Linked DNA regions of Styela clava. The main gene of each other region encodes a partner of the protein of the gene in region 2 in a complex. Links are inferred from orthologs where the notes say so. Each region holds a gene or a part of one and is shown on either strand. Other genes may lie near its edges. The genes, in order: protein lin-52 homolog, protein lin-9 homolog, protein lin-54 homolog and protein lin-37 homolog.

What was found.
Region 1: the proteins of protein lin-9 homolog (region 2) and protein lin-52 homolog are in contact, whole or in part, in a crystal structure (PDB 6C48), measured with the Homo sapiens proteins. The link is inferred for Styela clava from reciprocal best matches to the Homo sapiens genes LIN9 and LIN52. Residues at the interface, in NP_001353174.1 of Homo sapiens: Leu335, Gly336, Phe338, Phe342, Leu343, Ile344, Val346, Thr347, Leu349, Ser350, Lys351, Leu353, Met354, Lys356, Lys357, Ile360, Leu363, Arg364, Asn367, Thr368, Ala370, Glu371, Lys374, Ile382, Phe384, Gln385, Tyr388, Ala389, Val392, Leu395; in NP_001019845.2 of Homo sapiens: Asp61, Met64, Leu65, Leu68, Gly69, Leu71, Thr72, Thr73, Leu76, Met77, Val80, Leu83, Gln84, Leu86, Ala87, Leu90, Asp93, Glu94, Glu97, Met98, Arg100, Gly101, Leu104, Asn105, Ile106, Leu107, Glu108, Pro110.
Region 3: protein lin-9 homolog (region 2) and protein lin-54 homolog share a complex: the UniProt entries of both Homo sapiens proteins name them as parts of the DREAM complex. The link is inferred for Styela clava from reciprocal best matches to the Homo sapiens genes LIN9 and LIN54.
Region 4: the proteins of protein lin-9 homolog (region 2) and protein lin-37 homolog are in contact, whole or in part, in a crystal structure (PDB 7N40), measured with the Homo sapiens proteins. The link is inferred for Styela clava from reciprocal best matches to the Homo sapiens genes LIN9 and LIN37. Residues at the interface, in NP_001353174.1 of Homo sapiens: Lys99, Ala101, Ser102, Gln103, Lys104, Ile105, Gly106, Arg108, Leu109, Arg110, Leu112, Leu113, Lys114, His119, Trp121, Cys122, Ile123, Glu125, Trp126, Phe127, Thr227, Leu237, Phe238, Leu272, Ser273, Asn274; in NP_061977.1 of Homo sapiens: Tyr95, Ile97, Leu99, Phe100, Asp101, Arg102, Val104, Leu106, Ala107, Phe109, Ser110, Glu111, Asn112, Thr113, Pro114, Leu115, Tyr116, Ile118, Cys119, Arg120, Trp122, Met123, Asn125.

Annotation. Positions count from the first base shown.
Region 1 is NC_135251.1:22,036,059-22,041,633, forward strand, and holds protein lin-52 homolog, read left to right. Parts: upstream 1-3,876; coding exon 3,877-4,227; 3' UTR 4,228-5,048; downstream 5,049-5,575. Other genes in the region: mannose-P-dolichol utilization defect 1 protein-like, read left to right, coding at 2,171-2,905; D-aminoacyl-tRNA deacylase 1-like, read left to right, coding at 5,083-5,125.
Region 2 is NC_135259.1:13,480,112-13,487,958, reverse strand, and holds protein lin-9 homolog, read right to left. Parts: upstream 3,005-7,847; 5' UTR 2,902-3,004; coding exon 1,303-2,901; 3' UTR 208-1,302; downstream 1-207. Other genes in the region: protein Spindly-like, read right to left, coding at 53-194. UniProt on the Homo sapiens protein: Acts as a tumor suppressor. Inhibits DNA synthesis. Its ability to inhibit oncogenic transformation is mediated through its association with RB1. Plays a role in the expression of genes required for the G1/S transition.
Region 3 is NC_135260.1:20,924,121-20,931,677, reverse strand, and holds the start of protein lin-54 homolog, read right to left. Parts: upstream 3,028-7,557; 5' UTR 2,878-3,027; intron 1-2,877. Other genes in the region: dynein light chain Tctex-type 5-B-like, read right to left, coding at 5,123-5,288. UniProt on the Homo sapiens protein: Component of the DREAM complex, a multiprotein complex that can both act as a transcription activator or repressor depending on the context. In G0 phase, the complex binds to more than 800 promoters and is required for repression of E2F target genes.
Region 4 is NC_135253.1:13,439,314-13,446,049, forward strand, and holds protein lin-37 homolog, read left to right. Parts: upstream 1-4,319; 5' UTR 4,320-4,482; coding exon 4,483-5,232; 3' UTR 5,233-6,233; downstream 6,234-6,736. Other genes in the region: uncharacterized protein LOC120326047, read left to right, coding at 6,263-6,446.

The DNA.
Region 1 (5,575 bases), on a different chromosome or scaffold from region 2:
TTATTTTACCATTTTTCATGTAATTCTTTTTGGTAAACCTGTTATCTATCGTAAATACAGCACATTTGACAATGTTGTAGTGTGACTATTTTGGCCTCACATTTTTGATATTTGTAGTTAGAGCTTTTGGGGCTCTGTCAAACAAAGTTACATACAAAATATTGATTGTAAATTGCAAAACATGTTCAAGTTGTTGGAATAACTTGGCATTTTACCACCCGTATATCATTCATTGTTGAGAATATTAATAAAATCATAAAATTTAAAAATCCGTTTTCGTGAAATTTTTGTTGTAGCTGAATTCCAGGGACAGCATGACAACAGGCAAGAGAAGCACGGTCGCCTCTTTTAGTTTATGACAGGGTTTCTTAAAAGGGGACCCCGTCCTCCTTGGAGGCCGCTGATCGGTTATCTGGGAGCACGAACAAACAGATGGAAATGCGAATATATAATATATAACAATGTATTTTTATAGAAGATAAGAAGCAAAAGTGTTGAGAGTCTTTGGTAGTTTGAAAAGCATTGGCATGGAACATAAGAATGAACTACATTCTTTCCCAGGGATATACTATAAAATGTAGCAATTTACTCATTCTTGTTCTCGTGATATCATTATCTTTCACTGCGTCGTCGTGATCATCCCGCTGCATAATAATTCTCGCTAACAAATAATTGACTGTTCTCCACAGGGTGTATATCAACTTGAACCACTGGCGACTGCATTAGCAGGCTTGTATTGTTAATTGCAACAAAAACCGGTATTTTGAAATAGTACTCTTTATTTTACGCGTATGTTTCTCTTTCGACAGTATTTACATATGTACAGTATATGGGTCGCGACCCAAAGCTGGGCTCAACAAATACCTAAAAGTTATTGATTTTATTTCCTAGTAAATTTGGTGCTTGCGTAGTTTGTGCACCAAGATTGCGCACAACCTGAACATAGTATTGTAACAGGTTGTGCGTCATTATGATGCACAGGTTTGACGAAAAACACTAATAATACAAATATCGAGCCGCTGCTCAAGGCTGCAAACTCCACACCCATGTAGAAATGATGGGCAATGACCCCAAGATGAATAATCACAAATAAAAAAAAGATGTGGCTCAAAGGGCTAAGCGTTAGGAATACGCTCGCCACCGCACCTCTAACTACTCTGCGTGGGTTCGCAGGTTCGAATCCCATGCAGGGATGGTTATGTGCGAGAGGATTGCTGGACTCCTTGGGTGGGTGGTTCACGTAACCGCTGGTCGGTTACGGCTTCCTCCACCCCTAAGTCCATGCTTCCGAAAACAAACAATACAGTAAAATCTAATCCCATACCCGACTTGGAATGGTAACCGGACGAGAGGCCGTGGTTCGCCATATGGATAAGCCGTCTTATCGGCTTTCCCCCCCCCCCCCCCCGGGATAAATATGTAAATCCTATCCTCCTATCCTAAAAACTTTATATCTGAAATCAAACTTGGCCAAAAAGGTCCCCTTATCTGCCGGACTATAACATGTCATGACTCATGGCGGGCACGTATGCAACGTTAACTTGAAAGGCAGCAGTCACAGATTTTGCTGAGCAACACGGCTGACAAACGCGACGAGGGCGGTCATGTTTGGCGGGATGAAAAGTGTTTTTATCAATTAAAATGAAACAATAAACTTTTCGGTACAATATCGGGTTCCAAAGGACGGATAGTCAATTGAAATATAAGATAAATGAAATGAAATTCTGATGCAAGCACGTCTATCTTCAATTACAGATAATTTGCTGAGGACTCTGATGACTTTAGATAACGTATCCAGGTATCTTAGATATTGCCCTAATAAAATTAGTAAAAGATGTCAAAAGAATCTGCATATTGAATGTTTCAATACATCAGTATGTCACTTGTCACTCATTTCTGCATTTACCGGTACTGATTTATTAGGCATCATAGCCTATAAGCTATAACAGATTTTTGGTATGATTGGGTTGATTGTCCGTTAGTCAGTTCTGTTTTATGATCTTCTGCTCTTTATGGTTGATTTAGTAAACAATAGGCGCTGCTTTGCTGTATGTTCAGTTGTTCAATGGTAGTAAAGATCAATATTTTTGTACAATATACAGTTAACTAATAGCTTATTGTTAAAAATTTAATATCAAGTACTGTACTTAGACTGACAAAACCTTACATTATGGAAGCTTTTCGGAGTCTCATGTCTTTTTTAATGACTCCTGTGTGTTATGAGATCTTTTTTACTGACTTCAATTTTCTCGACGTACCATGTCTGAAAGCAGTGATCAGCAAATGCTTAGGATATGGTATTATCATGGGAGCAGTTCTTGTAAAAGTACCTCAAATTCAAAAGTTGTTGAAGTCATCAAGTGCGGTGGGAATGAGTTTTTCTTCTGTACTGTTGGAATTGTATGCAATCACTTCCATGTGTGCTTACAGCATTGCTAGAAGTTTTCCATTCAGTGCATGGGGTGATTCATTCTTTTTGCTCATCCAAGTCACAATTATAGCCTGCTTGGTACAATACTACCGAGGTAAACCTCAATTGGCCATCGTCTTCCTTGTAATTTACTCCGTCATACTGTTCGTATTGGTATCTGGTATCACTCCCACAAATGTTCTTGCAGCGCTTCAAGCAAGCAACATGCCTGCCATAGTTATAGCAAAGATGATTCAGGCAGCTGAAAGCATTAAAAATGGACACACTGGACAGCTGTCGGCTATAACTGTTTTCCTGACTTTCATTGGTTCAACTGCCAGAATTTTCACTTCAATACAAGAGACTGGAGACAACATTGTTATTCTTACATATATAGTTTCTACAATCGCAAATGCAGTAATATCTTTTCAAATCATTTATTACTGGAAAGCCACTGAAGAATATGTTAAAAATTCTATGAAAAAGCAGCAATAAAGTCGAAGGATGGCTGAAAAAACTTCCAATTTTTATTAGTAGACCAATCGGGTGCAGATGAAATACACTCTCTTATACATGGACTGTTGTAGTTATTTTAGAAGAGATAATATTTTATTGCGCAATGTTTTCGAAGTATTTAAAGGCATAATGTTTTTATTTATTCATTTTTTCCATTCGGTCAAAATCTTATCCTGCATATTGTTTTTGCATGCAATGTGGTTCATCACATAATTCTATAATAAATAAAAACAAACTTGTTTGCGATGATAACCAAATGGGTTTTAGAATTTTTTGGCATCTGATCAAAATTATTCATCAAAGTTGTATTTTTAACTGAACCAATTTCTTTTATGAAGCAATATTTGTATTTGTTATTGCACAAGTCATATTCCATCTCCTGCATCAAGCAAAGCAGTAAATTAGAATGTTTTCCTTCAAGTATTTTAGCAAGTATTCATGCATGTTTTCAATAATTTTAGACAAGAGTGCTATGTAAAATTTTATTTGTGTGCCCTTTTCAATAGAAGTCTGACAAGATTGTTTTTTTCCATTTGGTATTGAATCTCGTACCTGATGAGTAAATTAGAATGCTGTTATTCAACAAAACTGCAAAAAAAGTGCTATTTTTATTGAACAATAAGACTAATTTTGCCAGTAATGCTTCTTGTACAAATACTAGTTGCTTTGAAATCGAGAGGAATGAAATTGACAAATATTGAAATTGAACACCAAGTACTTCAACAATCGATAGCCAATGTAGCAACAAGATATCTCGCTATTCGTTGAATATTTTGTATTTAAATCGGATTCATTTTTGCTTTTTTAACAAAATTTGAACAAAATCATTTTAGAGTACTAGGTAGTACTTGTAAGCTTTGTACTATGCATTATCTGCCTATTACAACATGTGATTTGAATTAAATTGTTTTCTCAGTTTTTGGACATAGTTTTAGTTATATATTAAAAGCATGGCCAGTTCATCTGAACCAAATGATATCGACGAACAGTTGATGAGCTTTGAAAAGCTTGATAGAGCTTCTCCAGATCTATGGCCAGAACAATTGTCGAGTGTGTCAGATTTTATGTCTGCGTTACGAAGTCCGATGTCACCTAAATCACCGCCAAAATGGATGGCAGAGTTAGAAAAGGACGATATTGATATGCTACAGGAATTTGGTAGTTTAACAACTGCAAATTTATTGGAAAAAGTTCGTGGATTACAAAACCTTGCTTATCAACTAGGACTAGATGAATCTCGTGAAATGACAAGAGGAAAATTTTTGAACATTCTCGGAAATGGAAAATTGTTTGGGAGTTGATATATGGAAAAATCATAAATATTTATATGTTAAAATACTGGAATTTAGTGAGAGGGGGCTGTTTTATGCAAAAAATGCTTTAGTATGTTAATATCGTATATGGATATAAAAATATATGAGACTATCTCTATCAGTTATTATGTGCTTATCACATAAGCATGGACGATTGCTGCAACCTTCAATGCATATATCTTGACAAAACAAATTTTCACTGTATACTGTAATATCTTTGTCAGCCAGCTTGTGAAAGCGCTGTGATTTTGGAGTATTAGAAACTTGTTTAAATACCGATGTTGATTGTAGACATTGACAATTTGGTTAACATACCAAATCTAAATATTTCAAAATGTGATGCACAAAAATATAGTTTCTCATAAAATGAAGCATTTGAATGTTTATGATGATGGCTTCTAATTTGAAATTATAGAGCTCTCTATTCATAGAGTGGAGATAGAATCATTTATTCCATATCCTTCCAATGCAAATAAAGATATTAAGATTGATATTAAAAGGTGTCCTTGGTTTTTAAATTTGTATTGCATCATCCTCATGACAGTTAGAGCAGCCTTAAGCGACGTTGCCTGCAGAACATGTTTTATTACGAAATCCTCATATCTCGCTATCTCACCAAGCTGATGAGACTATTTGCATTATTGTGCTATGCTGTTACTGCAGGCCTCATATTGTTTACTTTATTTGTTGATTTTCTCTATACCAAAGAAGTGTGTTTTAAATACAAGGCCTGGGTGGCAGAAATTGTGTCTGTTATATTTTATACTCAATACAATTTTATAGGCAATATTTTATCTGTTGTTCTCTAGCTTTGTTTAAGTTTCATAGCCAAATGCTGATATTATGAAGGCCATTATTCAAAGAGTTATGAAAGCAAGTGTCACGGGTGAGAGTACAAGTCTATTCTAATTCTTCCACATTGCTGAAAAACTTTTTTAAAACAAATTTTAAATCACAATACCAGATAAATAGATAATTGTGCCATCTCATTTCTTGAATGACATCTATCATTCTGTAACCCTCATAACTTTTTACAACACTTATTTGTGCGTTTTGCTCTGAACACGGCCCTGTTAAAGCAGCCAGTGATATTTAACTTAACATTTATAGGGGCTAATGTTTTTGGGAAGACCGTAATCTATCTGGATTGGCATTACCTACTCAATTTATTACACTATAGGTAAGGTTGTGAGATTCGAAACAGAGTTGTGTAAACTGCGATGCCAGCACTCTCAAGCCTAAGGCTACAACCACTAGGGCTTGTGCCACTCACTCTCTTTTGTACCACCTAAATTTACTGAATTGTAAATTTCAGCTTGATCTTTTTTTATTAATA
Region 2 (7,847 bases):
CAGAATCACACATCAATTTCTTGCTCTGAGTTACATATTCAATATACTATACCCGCTTCTGCTGCTCTAATCAAATTTTCATTTAGTTCTTTCAAATTTTTCTTTAATTTTGTGATCTCCTTTTCTTTGTCTTTCAGAATATCATCAAGAGGTTGAAGTCTTGTATCCATTTCCAAATAGTTAAAGCTAGACATACAGCTAATAGAATTTATCTAGAGATGTAATCCAAATACGACAAATTTATAATAATATAGGAAAGCAAATAGGAGACATTAGATGAAGTTGAAACGAATACAAATAAAGAAAATAAGAATATTTACTCTATTTAGGACTACTTCTTTCCGAGTGAAGGAATCCGATTGAGATATTGATTAAAGAATGGGAATAAGAGAGAACTCTCCATAAGGAAGACAGTTTGACATTTTCCTAAGATTTTTCGCCAAGATTATTTGAATGTGATCCATAAGGGAAAATAGGGTCAACATTCAGGAAATCTAGGTTCAAACACCATGAAAAAATTCCAAATAGTACAAATTCAACAATGTATATTCCATAGATAAGATTTTGCCAGTCACCAATAGTTTCACCAAGAAAGAATAATGAATGAAATAAATTGAGCTAATTATTTTTCCAAAATTAAACTCGACCACTGCCTTACTTGTTCAGTCAATGAATTATAGTAAATGGGATTATTACAAAGTAAAAAACAGTTATAGAGCAAACTATTCCACATAGCAGAAATAAAGTGATCGAGTCTGTTGTATAAACAACACATAACAAAATTATTTCAAAGTTGAAATGCAATTAAAAATGATGTAGTTACTCTGTGGAAACTAATTATTAAAGTCTTTTCTTCAAAAAAATTTCGATGTCTGAATTTTATCATCATTTCGTAGTAAAAATAGTAATATTGAATTTAATAGACAATAAAATTATTCGCAAAAAATAAGTTTGTCATGCTAAAGTATAGTCTTAGTTGGCTATGTCGCAAACACATCAACTATAAAACTAATTAGAGTTCACAAAACAATACTGCAAAGAAAATGCAGTGAAAACATCTTCATTTAAGAGTAAATGAGAGAGGTATATAACTAGAATGCAATTCACACATTAGTATTTCAATAAGGGACAAATGTCTAACAGTCGTAATTCATGTAGGTCATGGATTAAAATTTCCAGGAATGTAATGCCTACAATAACTTGAACCATGTATCATGATCGTCTGATTATAAGACCAAATAAATATATAATAATCACAATATATAATCGCTGAATAATGTCAAATAAGTGTCGTTCAATTTGTTATTTTCGAATTCTGTTCATTCCACTTTGTATATGAGCTATATGAATTTCAACATTATTTTGGAAAGACTCCATATTTTCAGGCATAATTTTTTCTTTTATGTTATCCATGGAATCTGTAATTGCTTTAAATTCGAAAGGATTTCCGTTATTTTCTTTGAGATAGCGAATCTGCATCATGATGGCAGTGAGTTGTTTCACAAGAGTTGTGAGGCCACAATTTTTGACTGCTTTTTTCCCATTTGTAGTTAAGTTTTTACTCTCTACCATTTGCTCTGCGTTTTCCATAGCTGTTTGTCTAACGTGCGATCCTTGGTCACATAAAATTGTGTTCTCAGGAGAGAGCTCTAAACAAAATTTTTGTATTCCGAGTAACAGAGAATTTAACTCTGCGTTCAGTCTTTCAAGTTCTAAAACAACGGTTGCATATTTTCTTTGAAACTCTATAGGCAGAGTCTCTCCATACGAGTGACTTTTTTCCGCTTGTGAATTCATTTGCTCGAGTAATTGTAAGTTTTCTTTTTTGATGGCTAAAATTTTTGAAAGGCGGGCCACCTGAACGAGGAATTTAACTGGGAAACCCCCCAATGTACCACCAGTTCCGCCTGGAAATTTACTACGCAACGGAGACTGACCCAAAACAGGATCATGTTCATTTGTGGGACTTTGAAGACTGTCATTAAAATCTGGCTGCATAGGGGAAAACATATTATAAAATGGCCTTTTTCTATCGATAAGAGACGTGAGTTGCATTGTCTCTTGAGGGTCATCACTGGCAACTTCAATATCAGGAACTTCTTTGGTACCAAGATTTCTTCTGTCAAAGGTTACTCTGTAAGATGAATTTAAAACGTCAACAGCATCAATTCGTCCAGTATATAGGCCATCATGGGATCCGCGAAGTCTTGCTGTTACTTTCGTACCGAGGATCAGTGACATTGGAATTTCTTTTGGTAGATCGTTGAATGTAAACCCATCATCTGCACTGACCTTTCTCTGCTGAAGTTGACGAATTCTGAATCTTTTACTTTTTAATGAGTTTCGTTCTTCCATGAAAAATGCTCCAGAACACCGGCGTGGTTTACCCATTATTCGTCTAATTTTTGCCCAATGAGCCCTTGTGAGACCCTTTGTTGACAGAGTAGGGAAAGATTCTTTCAAACAAAGTAAGAAATCATTGTCACCTTCAAATAAACATTTATCAATATGTGAGTAAAACCATTCATAAATACACATTTTGTGAGCCTTCGGAAGTTTGAGGAGATTTTTTAGACGAAAACCTATTTTCTTTGCAATTGTCCTGTCTGCAACACTGCTCTGCGCAATATTAGAGCTGGTACTAGCACCACTGGGCGTTTCAGGAGTAGATGGTGCAAACGTAGGCACAGGTAAAGACACAACTGCTTCATTTTCAATCGAACTTGATGGAGATTGTTCCGCGGCAAGTGGACTTTCAAGCAATTTCAACGCTCTCCGCTTCTTCATTCTAACTTCCTCTTCGCTCGAGACGTCATCATCACCATAATATATTAGCTTATTTCTTTTCCTGCTTCTCTGTGGTCGATTCGGAGACATACCCGGACTAGAATTCCAACTCATATTTAGGCCTTAGCACCTTGCTCAGTAGGCTATATGCAGGAAACCGGCGAAACGACGGACTAACTTTCTCAAATCATCAACAAGCGGATTTCGCGCGAAACTGCAAAGACGTCCCAATCAATAACGTCATAAAATTTACTAGAATTTACGATGCACTATGTCAAATTATGAAACATGAACTAATTTTTAATGAACTGTAGTCATAACCGCATAATATTTTCAGAACTCTATATCAAATGGTATACTTCAATTGTGCACATTCGTTTTAAAGCTGTCAAATTTTGGGTAGTCAAGCATTCAAGTATTATAAATCGTGTCCAAAGTAGCTGATTGGGTACTTTCGTAGTGTGTGTAGCAAGGTTAGGTTTATTTAGATTTTAGAGCAGGGTGGTCCAAACCCAAGCCCGCGAGCCACATGTGGCCCGCCGCTTCATTATCTGTGGTCCGCGTCACATTCGGGGAGCAATCAATAAATCGCATATCGTGTTGTTTCGTAATAAAATTAATCAGAAAAATCTTTTGATATATTGTCACATCACTAATGTCACCTAATTGACTAGTGTTATGGCTAGCCGAGGCAATTAGCGTAGTTGAATGATGTGCTTGGCAGTCTAAATTATTATCTGGCTTTCTATATTTTTGGTCGGGAATATATGCTAAGATTATAGGTATCATAGAAAACTGAAAATTGAATGCGGATTCTATTAGCCTGGGATGGTTATGTCTGATAACTATGTGTTTGCACAATAAAAGTATTTGTTTTGTATTGCAATGTTTACCTATTCTTGGCACTATTGTGACCCGCGAACAATAAAAAAATAAATATGTGTCCCGCGGAGCCGACAACCTTGGACCACCCTGCTTTAGAGCATAATTTTATTACAATTTGTTTTCTTTACTTTAGTTCGGGGACTGGCTGCGTTAATCAAGTAAATATACCTCCTGCCCTTACACTTCATTTCTTTTACACAACTTGATGTAAAGTAGGCGAACAAAATTAGTTACCCCATATTAGTACACACACTCCTGGAGCGCCGCTCATTGTAGCTTTAGAACCAAATTAGTAATTATAAACGCATATTCATACATCGATGTTTACGGAAAAAAATCCTTTGCTAAAATTGGATTTTAAGTTACTCACATTTTGTTAAAAAATTTTCACACTCTGAGTTATGTGGCGCTGTATTATCGTTTATTTCTGCATCATATAGTAGTGATTCTCAAACGATAGGGCGTGCAATACAGAAATAGCGAAGACAATTGCCTCGAGGTGTGAGGCTAATTAAAAATATTTGTTAGATCTTGCCCGTTTCCATTTAAAATATTTACATTTCAAATTTTTTATTTAATTCATTATTTACGTTACATCCATGTATTTTGAACATGTTTTCGAGAATAAAATCTCTCATTTCCTGTTATTTGTAGCTTATTGTTAGCTTGCTATTTTTGAAGTGGCACGCAAGACGTCACATGTTAAAACCATTGCCATATGCAGTTAATAAAGACCAAATTTATTATTAAAAGGGTGCCATGTTATGAACGAGTTTTTTTGACGGAAATCCCTGAAATTTGAGGCCAACGCCTACTATAATTTCTAAACTGTACTAATTTCAGCTGTTTATTTATTCATTAGCAAAAGTATTTAAAACAGACCTGAGTCATGCAGAAATTACTTGTATGTTTCCTATTGTCGGTTGCTGTAATGTCATCATTATTCGATATCACAAACGGAGGGCTCAGTGGAAGTTCGTGAGAATATATTAATTTAGATTAACGAAAGATATAAGACAGAAACATACAACTTAAACAATTTCCCATTCTGAACAACCGATCGTCATTCAGAATTTAGAACATAAATGTCGTGTTTATTGCACTTTGCAGTAAAATTACACTCGGTTTTGATGTTGACGCTATATCATGTGATGTTACAAGTATCATATTCTGAAATAAAGTTGACGCATTTCCTATTTGAGCTAGTAAATTGTATTATATTGATGCTAACCCGATTATTTAGATCAAGGGTATGCAACCTGCTGACCGCGGGCCAAATGCGGCCCAAAAGGAAATCTTGTGCGTCACGTGAAAAAGTGCTAATTTTGTACGGTTTGCACCATTAATCAATTCCAATCTCTATACCAGGGGTCACCAACGTTTTCGAAGCCGAGGGCTACTTTCTGGGTACCGATTAAGCCGAGGGCTATCAGTTTGATGCACACTTTTAAAAAAGTCGATTTGCTCGATTAACCTTCAAATATTGATAATTACTGATATTTAATAAAAACACTGATAAACTTTAGGTTTCTTCAGGAAATCAAACGATTATCACAACGTAGCAAATAAATTACTAGCAATGACACTTCCATTTTCAAAATGAGTGTTTTTCGAATTGATTTTAAAGTGATCACTACAATAATATCCTCGGAGACCACAGGTCCACAATGTACCTACTTTTTTACAAACACCCTGCATAACCCTAAGATGAAATGAACTTAACACTTTTATTGCCGAATGTTACATTTGAAACCAAATTCAACTAATTATAAATATCTTGTTTTCAACAAGGAGAAAGTACTGCGCTCACCAATGAATAGTGACAAGATGTGAAATGTCTCTTTGCTTTGTCGTCGCTATAATCGCCCCGTAAATGAGACATACGCAAGCTGTTTTCACGGTGGTAAAAGGAAATCCACCTCCCATTCATCGTGAAAATGGTAGCTTTTCTTTCGATTTTTTGCCATTTTCTTTGAAATCAATAATTGTATTATTGGCATTGCTGCTCCACAAATCAACGGACACGAAGGTGACATCTGTGTGATGTCATAATTGGGAGAGTATTAAATGACCCGTCACATTACTGAGGTCAAATAAAAGTTAGGATGATCGTTACCATATCAATTAACATAGTGTTGTTCCCAGTTCCCAAATAAGACATAAGTGTGATTTATACAAGAATAACGTGACAAAAATTAATTGAAGCAGCTTACCCATAAGCGTCGTTATTAAGTTTATTTTGGAACAGACCTGCGGGCGACTAATGTGGTCTTCACGGGCGACTTAGTGCCCGCGGGCAACGGGTTGGTGACCCCTGCTCTATACGTTACAAAGTTGCCTATTTATTGGACAAAGAGTCCAATTTATTATTGGACACGTAGTGGACATAACGATCGTTTCAATATTATGTTGTTGTTGTTCTTGTTTGAATAGTTTTACCGCCTAACAGCTTCGAGTTAGAAACTTCGAAAAAGAAACATAATAATCCACCAACAAATACTGTAGATATATAGAAAAGGTGAAATGCAGAAAAGTATTAACGATAACTTTTCACGATACACGATAACTTTTCATTGTGTATTCATATATCTAAGTTCGTCTCTCAGATAGCTTATGCTATTGTTTCAGTTATTTCGAAATGATCGAATTATATTCCAAATTAATTAATAGTTGTTACTGAGTATACAATTTTATTGTGAATTCTGATGTTTAAATTATTTAACATGAACGTCTCGGGTACTTTTGTAACTTGACATCCATTTTTTAACATCTAAATATGCTCGAAAAGAAAGTTTTCATTTGATTTTTCCAGCGTAACTATCTGATTTTCTTCATTGTGCTTTCGTTTTTGCCATTGGCCTGATATTTTTAGTATCACAAAGAGTCCTAATTTTAAGCGATCAACGCCACCGGGAATAACAATGCCACGAGGAAATAAGAGACAAATCAACTATGAAGAGAACGTGGCACAGCGGCGGAGGCGCAGTTCTTACCACTTCATGGCAGCTCCTGCCACGAACGAACCGCGGCAGCTCTTGCCATGGTTTTATAGGGCTTTTCAGTATTCAGTAATCAGTAAACGGTATATTCACAAACAAATGTACCAGATTTTAATTGATTATGTGGAACTATATCTACTTAAACCCTAACCCAAAATCCATAAAAACTGTATCCATAAGAAAAACGTTCCAACTTACCCAATATTTGTCACCATAAGGGTCTTGTCTTTACGGCCACCAGCCCTGTCTTTACGGCCCCACCTGCCGTGGTTACGGCAGCAAAATTTTACCTGCCATTGGTTTTAAATTTGCTGCCGCGGTAACGGCAGCTCGTCATTGGTTTGTGGCAGCTAAAAAGTCAGTCGCCATAGGTTTGGCCGTAGCGGCCATGGTATGAAAACACCGCCATGGTTTTGCGGCAGCTGCAAACGCCACAGAATACTTACTGCACTTGCAGCGGCGAGCGCGTTTTTTAGCGCTGTCGTTAGTCACGTGGTATAACGGAAGTGATTGAAATTCGCATAGCGTTACATTGGGAAGAACGGATAGAAGGTTCCTTCATTCCTATTAATATTTTAGAATATTTGGTATTTTCTCTTATAGTTGTATGAGGGGAATATAAGATTAGCATCGAAAGTTTATAACTCTCAATATTCCAGGACTTTGTGAGTGTTTTCTCGCAGATTTTTTTGTCATTAATCATCGATCTCAGAGGTATTGAACCATGATCGACTGGTAACAAACCATATGCTTGTTTGGCTAAAATTGATGAGAAATATACAGGTGTATCGTTCAAACCCTGGCTCAGATTATTGAGCAGGCAAATGCAATATAAAACGCCATGGTCGAGCGAGGTTAATTCTATTTCTTCAAACACGAAATTCATATTACACTAAATATACGCAACTGCAAAGAATAGTGGCTGACTGCGATAACATATCGCTTGAAAAGATGCAGATAAAACTAAAACCAGTCGATATATAACCGAACAGTTTTTATTACATCCAATTACAATCTCATATTGCATCAAACATCGTTGAAAAGTCGATTTTTGTTATATACATTATAACTTCATCCAAATATGAGATCACTTTGTTGGGTCTACTTCATCTACGTCTACGAAAATAAGGGGACCATGAAAGACTTTGTCTACCTGTAACGCAAAAGGTAAAATAA
Region 3 (7,557 bases), on a different chromosome or scaffold from region 2:
TTTGTCATGTGACACATGTCGCGATTTTGATTATTATTGAGACAATGATAGCATGATCTGACGCATCTGCCGTCGTGCCATATCAGACTGGATTCTGTGGCCCTGGCAGGTGCACGCCTGAGCATGTTAGGGTTACGCGACAAAGCACGCGAGCAAAATTTATTTTGCACGCCGTAATATTTGTGATTGCTCACTATTCACCATTATATCTGACAGTATTGAGGGTGAAGGAATAAAACAGTTGCCAATAAACAGTACTAACAGGTTCTAACATTACAAACTGACCGATTATAGTCAACACGCAACTTTCAGCTTTTACAAACATGCCAAAACCCATGGCGATTAACAACCAAATGGGCCTCTTGGAACGTGAGGCTTTTTGTTATCTTTATGCTTGTGCCGATTAATTGACCTTTGACCTATGCAAAAATACACATCGTCACCGGGACTGTGTGTCAAAGCCCCAGTTGGAATGTTTTATATAACACTACACTTGTTCATTCAAGTTTGCTTCTCAAATAGGACCATTCTGTCAGTTTCACGCTGGCAAATCTAGGTATTCACACGGTTTCGATAAATTTGCAGGCGTGCTCAGAAGTTTGGCATGCCATGTTTGCACTCCGGGATTGTGATTGCATGCCCGATTCCTTTTGAAAAAAAGGCTATGAAATCCAAACCCCCTCGTATCAAAGGTAAATTGAGTGTTTGTTTTATTGAACCGAATGTCGGTACATCTTGGAATATGAGGACTGTGCCCTACTGTATTTTTCAGAGAAAGAGGAAAGTCGATAAGATGACTTAATCATACTATCATATGACAGTAAGACGACTAGGCCGGTCTGGATTTTATGGCCTTTTTGCACAAGAAATCGGGCGTGCAATCAGAAATTCCCGAATGCAAATCAGAAATCCCGGCGTTCAATTATAGATCACAGCGTGCAAAACGAATGTGCCAGTGTGCAACTGACTTTGACTTTAGATACTGTCCAGTACATCCGCATAAAATTGTTGGGTAAAAATATGTTAAATCGGAACAAATGGACATTTGACCCCCAAACATTTTTCTATACTTTGTCATTAATTTTGGGAGTGTTTGTGTGACTTTAGATACCGACACTGTTCAGTACATCTGCATAAAATTATTGGATAAAAAATATGTTATATCAGAGCAAATTGGACGTTTGACCCCCAAACATCACTTATATACTTTGTCATTAATTTTATGAGTGTTTTAACGTAAAATTATTGGATGAAAAATACGTTGAATCAGAGAAAATGGACGTTTGACCTTTGACCCCCAATCATTGTTTCTATATTTTGTCATTAATCTTGGGAGTGTTTTTGCGTCAAATTATTGGACGTGGAATACACTGTGACCAGTGTCGGCAAGGAGTCTGGCAATATTTTCGCCCATAACTATTCTCATGGGATTCTTATCATTCAACACGATGCGCCACACCGGCAAGCAATTATGGAATAAGATCTTTTTTTTAGGATTAGGATTTACATACTTATCTTGTGGGAGAGGAAAGTATGATGGCTCAATCATATGGCTAACCACGGCCTCTTGTCCAGTTACCAGTCCTTGTTGGGTACAGTATGGGATCAGTTAGCCAGCTATTTGTTTCAGTAAGCATGGACTTGGGACTTTTTTGCTTTACATTTTTCGACCAGGCCAAAGCTTGCAAGCCAGTACAGCAGTATGTAGTCAACAATTGTCTGATTGTGGAGCTACAGTTTGTTAGCATCTTTATATTATTAGATTATTGATTTAAAAACCATTTTAACCGATTTCCATTGGTTAGCAATTGCAAATTTTTGGTGTGCAAACTTGAATCCGCTCGCGTGCATTTTTGCGGAGCGCTAGCGCCCTCGAGCGTGCACCTGTCATGGAATCCAGTTTGGCGACTAGGACTGCCTCCTATCCATTTCTGCATTTACTTTCCTAATAATGTTACCAGTCCGCCAGTTCAGGTATCTGTTTGAGATATCAGAATGACTGATGATAACTGCAGTACCGGTACCGGTACCGGTACCGGTACTGGATTAAGGAATTCAGAAATTCGAGCCTGTAAATCCAGAAGTTAGTTCTGGGTAATTGGGGGTGCAAAGGCAGAATCTGAGAATGAGAAGCATCTTCCAGTCTTCGTACTGCAGTAATGTCAGACTGTCCTAAGGCAACAATGCTTAGCACTATTGTCCTCTGCCAACAAGCTCATGATGCTGAATTACTAAATATCAATGCACTTCTGCACTTACAGATATCAAGACATACCGTACCCACTGTACAACAATAACGACGGTGTGGCACATGTCATGCATGTCTGCATGTTGTTGAGCGTTCGGAATACGCTCACCTCCCAGCCACCACAATCCCATACCTCTGTACCTGCATATGTACAGCCATACGGGTACCACAGTACTGCAGTACCACGATATGTGATACCCGACACTCTGACATGAACTGGTAACCGGACTGCCGAATGAGAGGCTTTCCATAGGATTAAGTCGTCTTAATGGCTCAAATATGTAAATTCGATCCGATAAACCACACAACAGCATTGACTGAGCAGTTAAGTCTGTAAGTGCTGAAGTGCAAATGTCGGGAAGTGCCTGCCAAGCATGACATAAAACTGATTAAAATTTGTTATATCTGAGCATATTCTGTAATAGTAATATCGACCTGTTGATATACAGATATACGAGAATTCAATTGCTGTATTGACAGATTCCTGGATTCAGGAAAGGCAAATATCCTGGATATAGTCCACTCCGCCGTTATTTTTATTAACCTGAATACCGTTACCGTACATTGCCCTGCTGTATAGAAGTAAAAGCCATAGCAAAAATTTCTGAAAATATGTAAATATATCTTACCTCGCAATAAAACGTAGTAAAACCAGGCATACAACAACTGACTAGCAAAACAGAAGCACAGGCAGCAAAACGTCTTTCAAAACTTTCCGCGATGACAATCGCCCATTTTCGTCAGGTGATCAAGGTCGATATGACATCATGATGCGGTTCATCGACGATTCAATTTCGCGCCAGTAAAAGCCACAAATCGATTTTTATAACAAATATGGATAAAAACAATTGAAAATATTGGGCTATAATTCTGATTAAAAAGATATTATTCTTACTAATAATAATACTGTATGAAGTAGGTGTGATATGAATCGACTGCAACTCTTCTTGATATCTGCATTATTCTATACTAGCCAACGACTAACATACCGATACTAGCCGTACGCCTGCAATCGAATGAGACTGGTTTTCTTAAGAAAACATTAGTATTAGAACTAACATTTTTATATAGGGGGAGGAGAGTCGATGACGGCTTCGTCATATGACAAACCACAGCCTTTCGTTCGGTTACCAATTCATTTTGCGTTTGGGATTATTCAGCCAGTTATTATAGAAGTCCCAAATGGCGGAATTCGGAATACAGTAACTCAATATGGACAAAAGCCGTGATAATGTCACAATCGAATTGCATCAATTCATAAACATGAAATACTGGTTAATGTGCTGAACATATTAAAATAAATGGACAATTCACCAAATTCTCAATAAATATATATAGGCTACAGAATTAAACTTGGGAATAACAATCATGTCATTGAGGTAATCGGCCTTGGTTTTGGTTTATCCCCGTTGGTGAGGATTAGAAGTATCTTATGAATAAGTCATTACTAAATAACTAAATATTTTTAAAATATAAGCATTAATATTAATTTTTGGAAAAGAAATGTAGGCCTACATGTAGATTGCTCTTATTATTGGACACGAGGTAGACATATGGATCGACTTGGTGTGGCATCGTTGTTGTGGAAACTAAGTACTTATTTCCAACTACTGGGCCAATTGCTTTAGAATTGTCAGTGGTTACAGCTTGTTGTCGTTGCTAGAAGCCTTATACTTTTATTTATTTCAAAAATATCTGTTGGTTCCATGAAATTTGTTTTTCAATCGAAGTTTTGTGTGATGAGGTCAACAAAATAAAAATTTTGTGCGTAGTTCCGTGATCACATTTAAATGATCCTGGGGACAGACCAACGACGACCGCATAAAAAAAATAATGTCCGAATCGAACAGTATGTCAGGTTTTTAGCGCACAGCATGTCGGATATTTGAAATCAATGAAAACTTTGTAACTTCAGCTCGAACAATAAACCAACGGAAGATCTTGAAGGAATGCCTATACATATGATAAAACTCGTTTGAACGTTAGCGAATGGATTCCTTCATATTTTCCGTATCTGAACACTTGCGTAATACTTGTTTAAGACATAGTTAACTGGAATTCTGAATACGTTGTCGATCCAAAATTTAATAAAATTGTCTTCGATGAAACGTATGTTAAAATACATACGTTAATACTATTTTTGACAATAAAGGGGTAGTGATTATGGAGTATATAGGTCTACAAGTTTTTTTCTATAGTGATATTTAATATTACTTATGAATCTTCATGAAAATACACGGCTGACTGTAACATATAGTCTATTCTAGTGCAGCGTTTCCCAAACTGTGTTCGTCTTCCGAGGAAAGGGGATCAAAATTACGACTAAATTGGTCCCCATGACGATCTCGGGGTCGTGAAGTTGTCGACCAACTGGTGATCGTTCAATATCGCGTCACCGTCGTCCTGAAGCGGACTAACTTTTTGAGGGTAGTAGCATTTTCGTTAACCGTCAGCGTAGAAAGGTAAAATGAATTAAACCCTTAGTATGCAAGAGAGTGCGAAACATGTCATCGGGGGTCTTGAAATTTTACACTAATAGAATTCCCCTAATAAACAAATTCTGTATAGACTCTGTCCTCCAATTCATCTGTCTCGCCCTTTTTTCTTTGGTCAAGGATCAAGGAACGAAGCATTTCTCACAATTCACGAGCTGTTGGTTTATGTCTGAACAAAGTCCTGAATTATCATTTGAATTTTTGAAACCTCGAACAAGTTCCTATTTAAGGATATGTTGTGGAAAACCCCGACCTAGTCAAACGATGTAACTTTCAATTCACAGCAAAATTAACCAGGCAGTTCTGTCCTATAAATATTATATTTATTCTAAGTAGCCCAAAAATTGTAGTATATCAACAACAATATTGTGAACAATTATCATTCGTGATAAATAGCGTAAATCGTCGCCGTTGCCCAAAGAGTTGAATTAGCAAAACTGGCTCCTGCCCAGTTGTCACGTTTGTCGTCCCAGAGACATCTACTACCGACTCTTACTCCTTGATCTTTTATCTGTCCAATATTTACCAGTACAATAATCTTATGCCTGAAACGTAAAAAAATGTAAAGCCATAAAAGATATCGAAAATGTTCTTGTAAGTCATATTATTTCAATATTGGCGCAAATGTTATCGCGTGTCCTGTTTCTATAATAATTATACGAAATCCCACCCATAGTCAATATAGTATGAAATACCTCATTCAGAGCCTGTATTGTAAACCTCAATCAGATTAACTCAACGGATAGGTGGCGACATCAACAACAGTATTTGAAATTACGCACACATACATATCTGTTGCTGTTGGTATATAATATGGCGAATCTTCGTAACCGGTAAGGGAGAGAGCGTCAAAATAATGCTGTATCGAAGTTTCGTTGATATTGATTATTGAAACTACAATCTCAATAAAGGGAGAATTAAACGCTATATTTTCTATGAGAGCAATATTTTCTTAATCGGGGGTCCGCTTACCTCAAGGGGTTCAAAGCATTTCCAGTGGGTCCCCCAAAATTGTACTTTTTTATTATTTAAACGCTGTATTACAAACTCAAAGGATGCGCTTGCCAGTATACAATAATTATATCTTTAAATAATTATTGCGATTAAACAATTCATGGATTAACGGCCGATTAGAGAAACCCGAAGTGAATGTAATATCCCCTTATAGTTAGACTCATCATATATATGAATTATGAAACAAACAAAAAACGGGACATTGGGCAAGCCTTGGTGCGATTCCGAGACTTAGTAATATTTTAGTATCTTAGTAACATTCAACTCATTGGAAAACGAAAACTTCCTTCTGAGCATTTCGAATAATTTAATGTAACATATACTAGTAGTTCTCTCTCACTCGGAAGTAAGTGGCAAATCAGTGGTGAATGATCTGCTCGCGCCGAGAATTTTTTTTTTGTATTAATATTTAATATAAAAATATATTTATAACTGCCATACTGTATGACCGGGACATTTAGGTCCACCGGGACGTATAGTAAAAAGCCTACTTATAGTAGATTTAACAAACAAAGCACTGTATTCGTTCAGAATACTACGAAATGACGTTACAAATCGCTAAGCAAAAAGCCTAGCACGATGGGAGAAACACTAGTAAATCTTAAAGAGTTGAAGATGATACAGTGGATTTGGGGAAAACTAGTGCCAAGAAAATCCAACAGGTCCCTTTGTTGTTGCATGTTTTCATGGGACCGGATTCTAACTCAAAATTACAAATTATTAAAGTTGTGTTGCCGCACTGTAAAGGTACGTAACTACGTTGGCGAACGCAGGGATGCGCAGAAATATTTAAAGGTTGAGAATCACTGTGTTAGACAGTTGTAACCGAACGACAGATTTAGTCTCTTAGTTACTGGCGAACCGGAAGCCGACAAACAACATCAATAGCCGTGTTGTATATCCATGGCATCTTTCTTAGACGTAGAGAGAATGAATCGTGTCTAGCCACCAAAGTCAGTGTGATTTGAGAGCTGATAATGTTTGAAATTCGCAACGAAATGCCCCAATGAAGTACGGTATTATAATAATTTGCAGTTGAACACACCACAATCAGGAGCCACTTCTAAAATTCCATAATACAACCCTTTCACCTACAATAGGATATTTACGGGTGCTGAAAATTGTGATAATTTTATGGAATATATATGAGTTCTGAACCTAAAGTAGGATTTTATATTTATCGCAAAAATGGAGTACTAAAAATTGCAATCAATAATTCAAATATAATATATGTTGGAAATTTAATTCCTACACTATATCTGTATGACTATTCCGAACCTGTGTGAAATAATTTTGAGTATGTCACAAAATTCAATGCTTTGCTCGGAAAAATCGTTCCTCATTTATCCGCTTATAAAAAGCACGCTTATAAAAAAAACATACCGAACGCCATGTCCAATAGGGGAGTCTCCACTTAAAATAACACAATCAGTTTTTCGTCCCCAACTTCTGTGATTATAATTCAGACACGAAGTCACGACTCCACGCTTTTACTGTAGTATATATTATAAAATCGATGCAACTCAAATCATTCGTTTTTAGCGCGATCTGACTATAATGAAGGTAAAAAACAAAGGATCTTTACTGTTCATTTCATTTCTGATGAAATGTACGCACCTATCAAAAATTTTGTCGTTGTTTTAATGCACTACAATGCAGATCTATCTTCAACCATATTTACAATCTTTTGTACAATTTCCAGACATTTTGCTTTTATTTCAATTTTATTTTCTGTATGTTGTGTATCAAAATATCGGAAAGAATCACGATACACAAACTGCTCAGTACAATGGCGCGATT
Region 4 (6,736 bases), on a different chromosome or scaffold from region 2:
AATTGAAAGGTGCTGTCGAAAGAGGTGGTACGTATTTGCTCACCCAAAAGTATTAAATAAATTAAAACACGCACGCAATACACATACATTCACGCAGACAAAATTAAACTATAATAGAGAAACATAATATTATATTGGATACCGAATTAGCTAATGGTAGTGAAATGTATAGGAAAATATTTCTAAAAAGATATCGGAAATCAAGTCTCTATACAGCAGCAACGTTTTTGAAGGATCCAGTCTCCTAATTTCATCCACACTTTTAAAAATCTATAGTTTTCTCCATTTTGTTTTTCCCAGCTTTATTCCAGTGGTTTTTTTTTATGTTTTTTGGTGCAGTGTTTGCTGCCGTGGTTGAAAAATTTTTTCGCGTTAGAACCATTGAGGTTATGTTAACCCTCTATAGTTATATACACCTCAATGGTTAGAACCCGTACGTACCGATACCGGTATGAAAAAAATATAATATGGTTTATGATACCGGTAATGAAAATGTTAGACTTATTGTATTTTGATGTTATAACAACTCATACTGTTTTAATTGTTTACATTTTTTGTTTGCTATTTAATCGTCTCATATCTTACTTTGACATTCCTCTGCAAACATAAAAAAATTGATCATCATATTTATCAAATTCTAGAATGTTCGTTCCACCTTTATATTTAGTCATTTGAAATTGTGAATCTTAAACATTATTGCGTGAATAGGGGGAGTTGACTTTGATGACCGTCTAGTCGTATCACTCCCTCTTGTCTATACCAAACTAATTTATTGTTATTATTTATTATTACGATGACTGTTATTTTATTTTGGTTGGCGAAATAATAAATCTCTCTTTCTCTCTCTCTCTAAAGGAAAAAATGGCGTGGGGCCTATTTAGCACCCGGGGAAATGCCGCGAGTGCTGTAACACATTTTGTGATTGTGTGCAGGGATTGGTACGGTAAACGACAAGCGAATGCAAAGTGGGTTTAGGTCGGGCGAGTATCAGTATATGAACAAGGACGAATAACGGTGTGGTATGTGAATCAATGTGATACAGTGATAAATGCTTATAGAATATTTGGGTCTCGTGAAGCGAACGCCGTAACTGCTTAAAGCAGGGGTCTCAAACCCGCGGGCCAATTGCGGCCCGCAGGACGATAGTTTGCGGCCCCCGCCTTGGTATGAAAGTTTAATGTTAGTGCGGCCCGTAAGTCACTCAGCTCAGTTAGAATGATTGATGCATTTGATATATGATCAGGACAAGTAGAGCAAAACAAAATATTTTATAATCTATCCACCGAAAGGAATATGCGGTACGGTAACCTACTAGTACCGTACATGTAGGCATGATATTCGATGGACCTTTGACCCCGAAGAAAATTTTCTTATACTTCACCATTACAAATTCTTGGTGCTTATTTTAGAGGTGGCTTCGCGATGTTTCACGTCATCAATTTGATTCAAAACATTCAACAACCTGTTTTTCAACAGTACCGGTAGAGAAATTTAACCTAGTCTATCACAGCTATTTCTAGACTAATTTATGATTACGGCAATTAAGCTACGACGCCCAAGCAATCAGAATGATCATTGAGTTCTTTGATTCATACTTGAATTTCTGAAACACAACCCAAAACTAACAAATAGCATGCAAAAACGAGGTAATGTTTACAAACATGCCTGAAAATCTTTCTGAGTCACAAGTGTCTGAGCGTTTGCGGAAAAGTCTATTGTTACGTCACTTTTTGCGTCCTGCTGATTAGCCCACGTTACGGAATAAACAAGGAAGTAGATGCTCGGGGAAAGGTCCATCGCGATATTACTTCCATTTATATTTTTGACATGTTTCGCGTATAGAAAAAACAAAGAAAAAGATTTAACTTTTTAAGTTTAATGATTTTATTGTGGAAAACCCGATGCGGCCAGGACTCACCAAGGCTCCGTTTCGGCGGCCCCCAGGTATATTGAGTTTGAGACCCCTAGCTTAAAGGGTCTCGTGTAGTTTCGTACCTAACGTACTTCTAGTAGGCGTAGCATAACAATATTTTGACATGCCAATCCTAACCCTCACCTGACTACGCCATCCAAAAATTACGTCACAACACGTCATAGAGCTTGCCAAATACTCGTACGATCACCCGAAATGGCATCGGCGCCGACGATAAAGAACTGACTAACGCCAGCGGTCTCTCTCCTATCGGGATCGTTGCGACGAGAGAAATGGCTGTTCGATTTCGCGTTCTCGTCTGCGCGTCTTGGATGACAGTTCGCATAGTTTGAAGGGCTCTATTACGTCACTGTGACGTATTTTTTGGATGGTGTGGTGGTGGGGGTTAGGGTTGACGCGTGAAAAAATTGTTATGCTACGCCTACTAGAAGTACGTTAGGTACGAAACTACATGAGAGCCCCTGCTTAAATACCCCCAACACAAATGTCCGAATGTGGTGTGAAAATGAATGTTGTACCGTACCTGTAAGTGCTCAAATAACAAAATTATGATGTGAAAATACAACCCAAATTTATTTATTTTTTCTAAAAATGAAAGTCCGTCTTGCGCACACGCTGAACACAATACGCTAAACGCATGTGACAAACGGGAGGAAGACAACTCGATACGGGAGCAGTACCCGTGCGGTACGACGTTCATTTCACATCACAATTTTGTTAGGCGTTACTTGCTACAGGGGTGGTGACTCCTCTACGACCCATGGGTCGGGGCCACGGCCCATCTAATTGGGCCACATGGAAAAATTTAAAAAAAAAGGAAGGCCAGGAAAAATTTAATTATCTTACCAAAATTGTCAATATTCGAACCAAAAAATAAACTCCTGTAGTATGTGTACCAGGTTAGGGTTTGGGCAAAATTTTGTTCAGATTTTTTACATTATAGTTCTATTATGAGTTTGGGGACTGTTTGTGTTAGCCAAGTGAATAGTTTTTTTACACAACTTGATGGGCCGCGGCCCATAGCCTGATGGGCCGAGGCCCAATTTGATGGGCCGTGGCCCATGGGCCGAAGAGGAGTCACCACTTCCACTCGTTACTTGAGCAGTTACGGCGTTTACTTCACTAGACCCGAATATTTTCGGGTTTGGTATAGTTTAGTACCACGTGCACTTCCAGGCTTTTAGTTAGCCTGGCTCAACAATTTTTGTATATGTCATTCCTAACCCCCACCTGGCTTCGTCACATAAAAATTACGCCACTACTGCACTACCATGTCCCAGTAGCGTAATAAAGCCCTCAAGGTGTACGGATGATCATCACCCGAAATCGAGCAAGCTATTTTTCTCGCCGCAACGATCCCGATATGAGAAAGGTTGCTGGCTCTAGTGAGTTCGTTATCGGCGCCGATAATGCCATTACGGGCGATCGTAGCTATACTTCGGCACGCTCTATGACGTGATTGTGATATCGTAGTGACGCAATTTTTGGATGACATAGTCAGGTGGGGGTTACAGGTTTGGGAATAACATATGCAAAATTCGTTATGCTACGCCCACTGGAAGTACATATGGTACTAAACTATACTAGACCCGAAAATTTGACGCATGTTCACTAAATGCCGTGAGTCCTTCTATTTGGTATGGAACAACCATTTTTGCACATGTAATTCCTGGTTTCGCCATTGGTTACGTCACCACGACCTCACAATCACGCCCAATACTGCACACTATCCAGATTCCAAGAATTTGGCTCAATAGAGCAAACACTCCATGTGTCTCACAAATGAGGGGCGTCTGGCACCACGTCAGATCTTCATATCACGCCATGCCTGTCTCAATACTTATCTTTATGTTTCGTGATGTTTTTTGGTAAAATTTCTCGAATGCCACAGTAAAAAAAATTTTCCTTCTGTAAATCGGTTTATTTTTTCCTGGGGAATTCAACGATGACGTTATTAGATTGGGCTTTTTTGTAGTATTTTGCGCAACTTCATTATACTGTATTATTATCGATATTGAAGGACAACAATGTCCAGACGTCTCCCAAAGGAGGGGTGTTTGATCATCGGTAAAATGGGTTTCTCTGAAACGAGACAATGTCTCTCGATCTGTATAGTGTGCCGTACTGATGCCAAGGAGCTTGCCAAAGTATAGTCTAGCTAGGATTGCCCGAAATAGCATCTTCGCCAACGATAATGAACTCACTAATGCTAGCGATCTCTCTCATATCATAATCGTTACGACGAGAAATAGCTTGCTCGATTTCGGGTAATCATTTGCGCGTCTTGGATGGTAGTTAGTATAGTTTGGGGGGCCTCATCACGTTACTGTGATGTCGTAGTGATGTAATTTTTTAATGACTGGGGGTTAGGAATACCATGCAAAAATGGCTGTGTGATGTTAACTAGAGGTACTTACGTCGTGTTATGAACATGGCCCCAATTTTCGAACATGGTAATTATTTAAAAAATTATCACTACTGCTGTACTGGTTTCAGGTTCTTGATATTACCATTTACAGGTATTACGGTACTGATAAGAAGATTCACAAATGAAGATGTCTCAATATTCTTATGAACAAGAACTTGATTTTAATGAAGCAAGAGCGGATTTGGATAGTGTACTTCAAAACATTGTAGCAAAGGCTAATGCTGGAGATTCGTCTCCTGCCAGTGATAAAATAAATGACATTGAAAACATGTTGCTACAATCAGATAAAAATAAAACAATATCTGATAGCGAAAGTCCTCAAAAATCTAGTTCCAGGTCCACACGCAAACGTCGAAGAAAAGATGACAATAAAGAAGAAAAACAGAAAGCAAACTCTTGTGTTATGAAATTATTTGATCGAAGCGTTGATCTGGCCCAATTTTCAGAAGATACTCCGTTATATCCAATCTGTAGAGCTTGGATGAGTAATGATCCATACACAAGAAAGGTACATGGTATTCCATCTGATGATCTTGATGAGGCTTCCGTCAATGATGGAAACTCTGATGAGCCGGTTACAATTCCACCCCCTAATACACCATTTAAGAATTTTAGTCCTAATGGAAAATATGTGAGTGCACGTATCCCATCACCCATTCCTCAACCAAGCGATCGACTGGAAGATTATTTGCAGCAAAACAAGGTTATACCTAGAGCAGAAACATTGCTATTAAATCATTTACAACATTGGAAAAATGTTCGGGAGAAATGGATTGCAAAATCTGCAGAAAATGAAGAGCGTTATTCGTCTGGAATGGCACTATTAAAAGATATGGCAAACAGGCAACTTTGTGCTAGTAATCTTACATAAAGGAGTCACTATATCATAAAATGTCACTGTGATAATACTGTTACTGAGGGGCTCCTGAAGTATGCGAACCAAGATGGCGGACATCGGAATGTATATGCGTACTAGGTTAGGGTTAGGCCATAATTTTAGCTATAAATACTACGGGAGGCTCTTGGCTAGTCTTCGAACTGTTAATAGGACTAAAATAAGGAAAATTGGAAAAAAATTATCGCCTAACCCTAACCTGTTACCCATGTTACGTTCCGATGTCCGCCATCTTGGTTCGCATACTTCGGGAGCACCGTTACTGACTTACTGTAAACCTTTCAGTAACAGTGCCTCTGCATGAATTGGAGGAGATATAAATGTTATTTAGTAAAGAAGTAGGATTCAACCCTAACCTGGGACACAAGAATTCAAATAATATATCTGTAACCCCATATTACCAGATTTTTTTTTGTCATTGAAATACAATGGCAAACTGTTTTTAGTGATTTTTTGTGTTTGTTGCATAAGTAGCAAATGGTTTCAATTTTTCCAAAATCATCAATTCTCTCACATTCAGATTTTCATTTCATTTTCACATTTTTATATTATATGAGTAACCAAATTGAAATATTGTTTTTAACAATAAACTAATTTATTTTGGAAGAAACCTGTTTTTACCTCCCTTTCTGAGTTATTAATTTAAACTGAGCAGGAAACAATATAATTTTGCTATCAATGAGAGAGACAATAGTACGATAATCATCAAATTTAGTGACATTTGTTTAAGACCGACTAATTGTGATTGACATTTATACGAATATTGGATTTCCCATTTGTTACAATATTTGTCTAATTAATCCTCTCTAATGAAGTGGGGGGACTATGGCAGCCACGAAATATTCTAAATTTTATGTATGTTTTCCGTATGTTTGTGTATTATCTTTCTGTTGGGAGGAAAAGTTTGTCGCCTCAAAAAAATTTGCCCTTTCTATTTCTACCTTACTTTACATAAAATGTGATTTTCTATTTCAGAATTTGAAGTTTAGTATAGTAGCCTTTCAATATGGTTAAAATATTTGTTGGTAACATACCATCAGATTGTGCAAGAGCTGATGTTCTTGATATATTTGAAAAATATGGGAAAGTGAGAAGTTGTGATATCATCAGGAACTTTGCATTTGTTCATATGGACAATGAAGATGATGCGAGAGATGCCATTGAAGCACTTAACAACTCAAGATTCATGGGTTAGTACTTATGAATCAAGATATGCAATAGTCACCTTATTTTGCATTTTTGTATTGATTTTTTTTGGTTGCATTATGTAAGCTAGTTAGAATATTTTATTTGTTCCATATTTTAGAATTTAGCACATTCCCGAGAAGAGTTTTTAATTTATACATGATGAGACGATTAATTCATACTTTTTTTCCAACTCCTATTCCGTATACTGTTTAGGCATTTTACCATTTCATACCATACTGAGGCTTTCGACCATTTCCATTAATTGCAAGCTCATTGGTATCTGAGGATACAC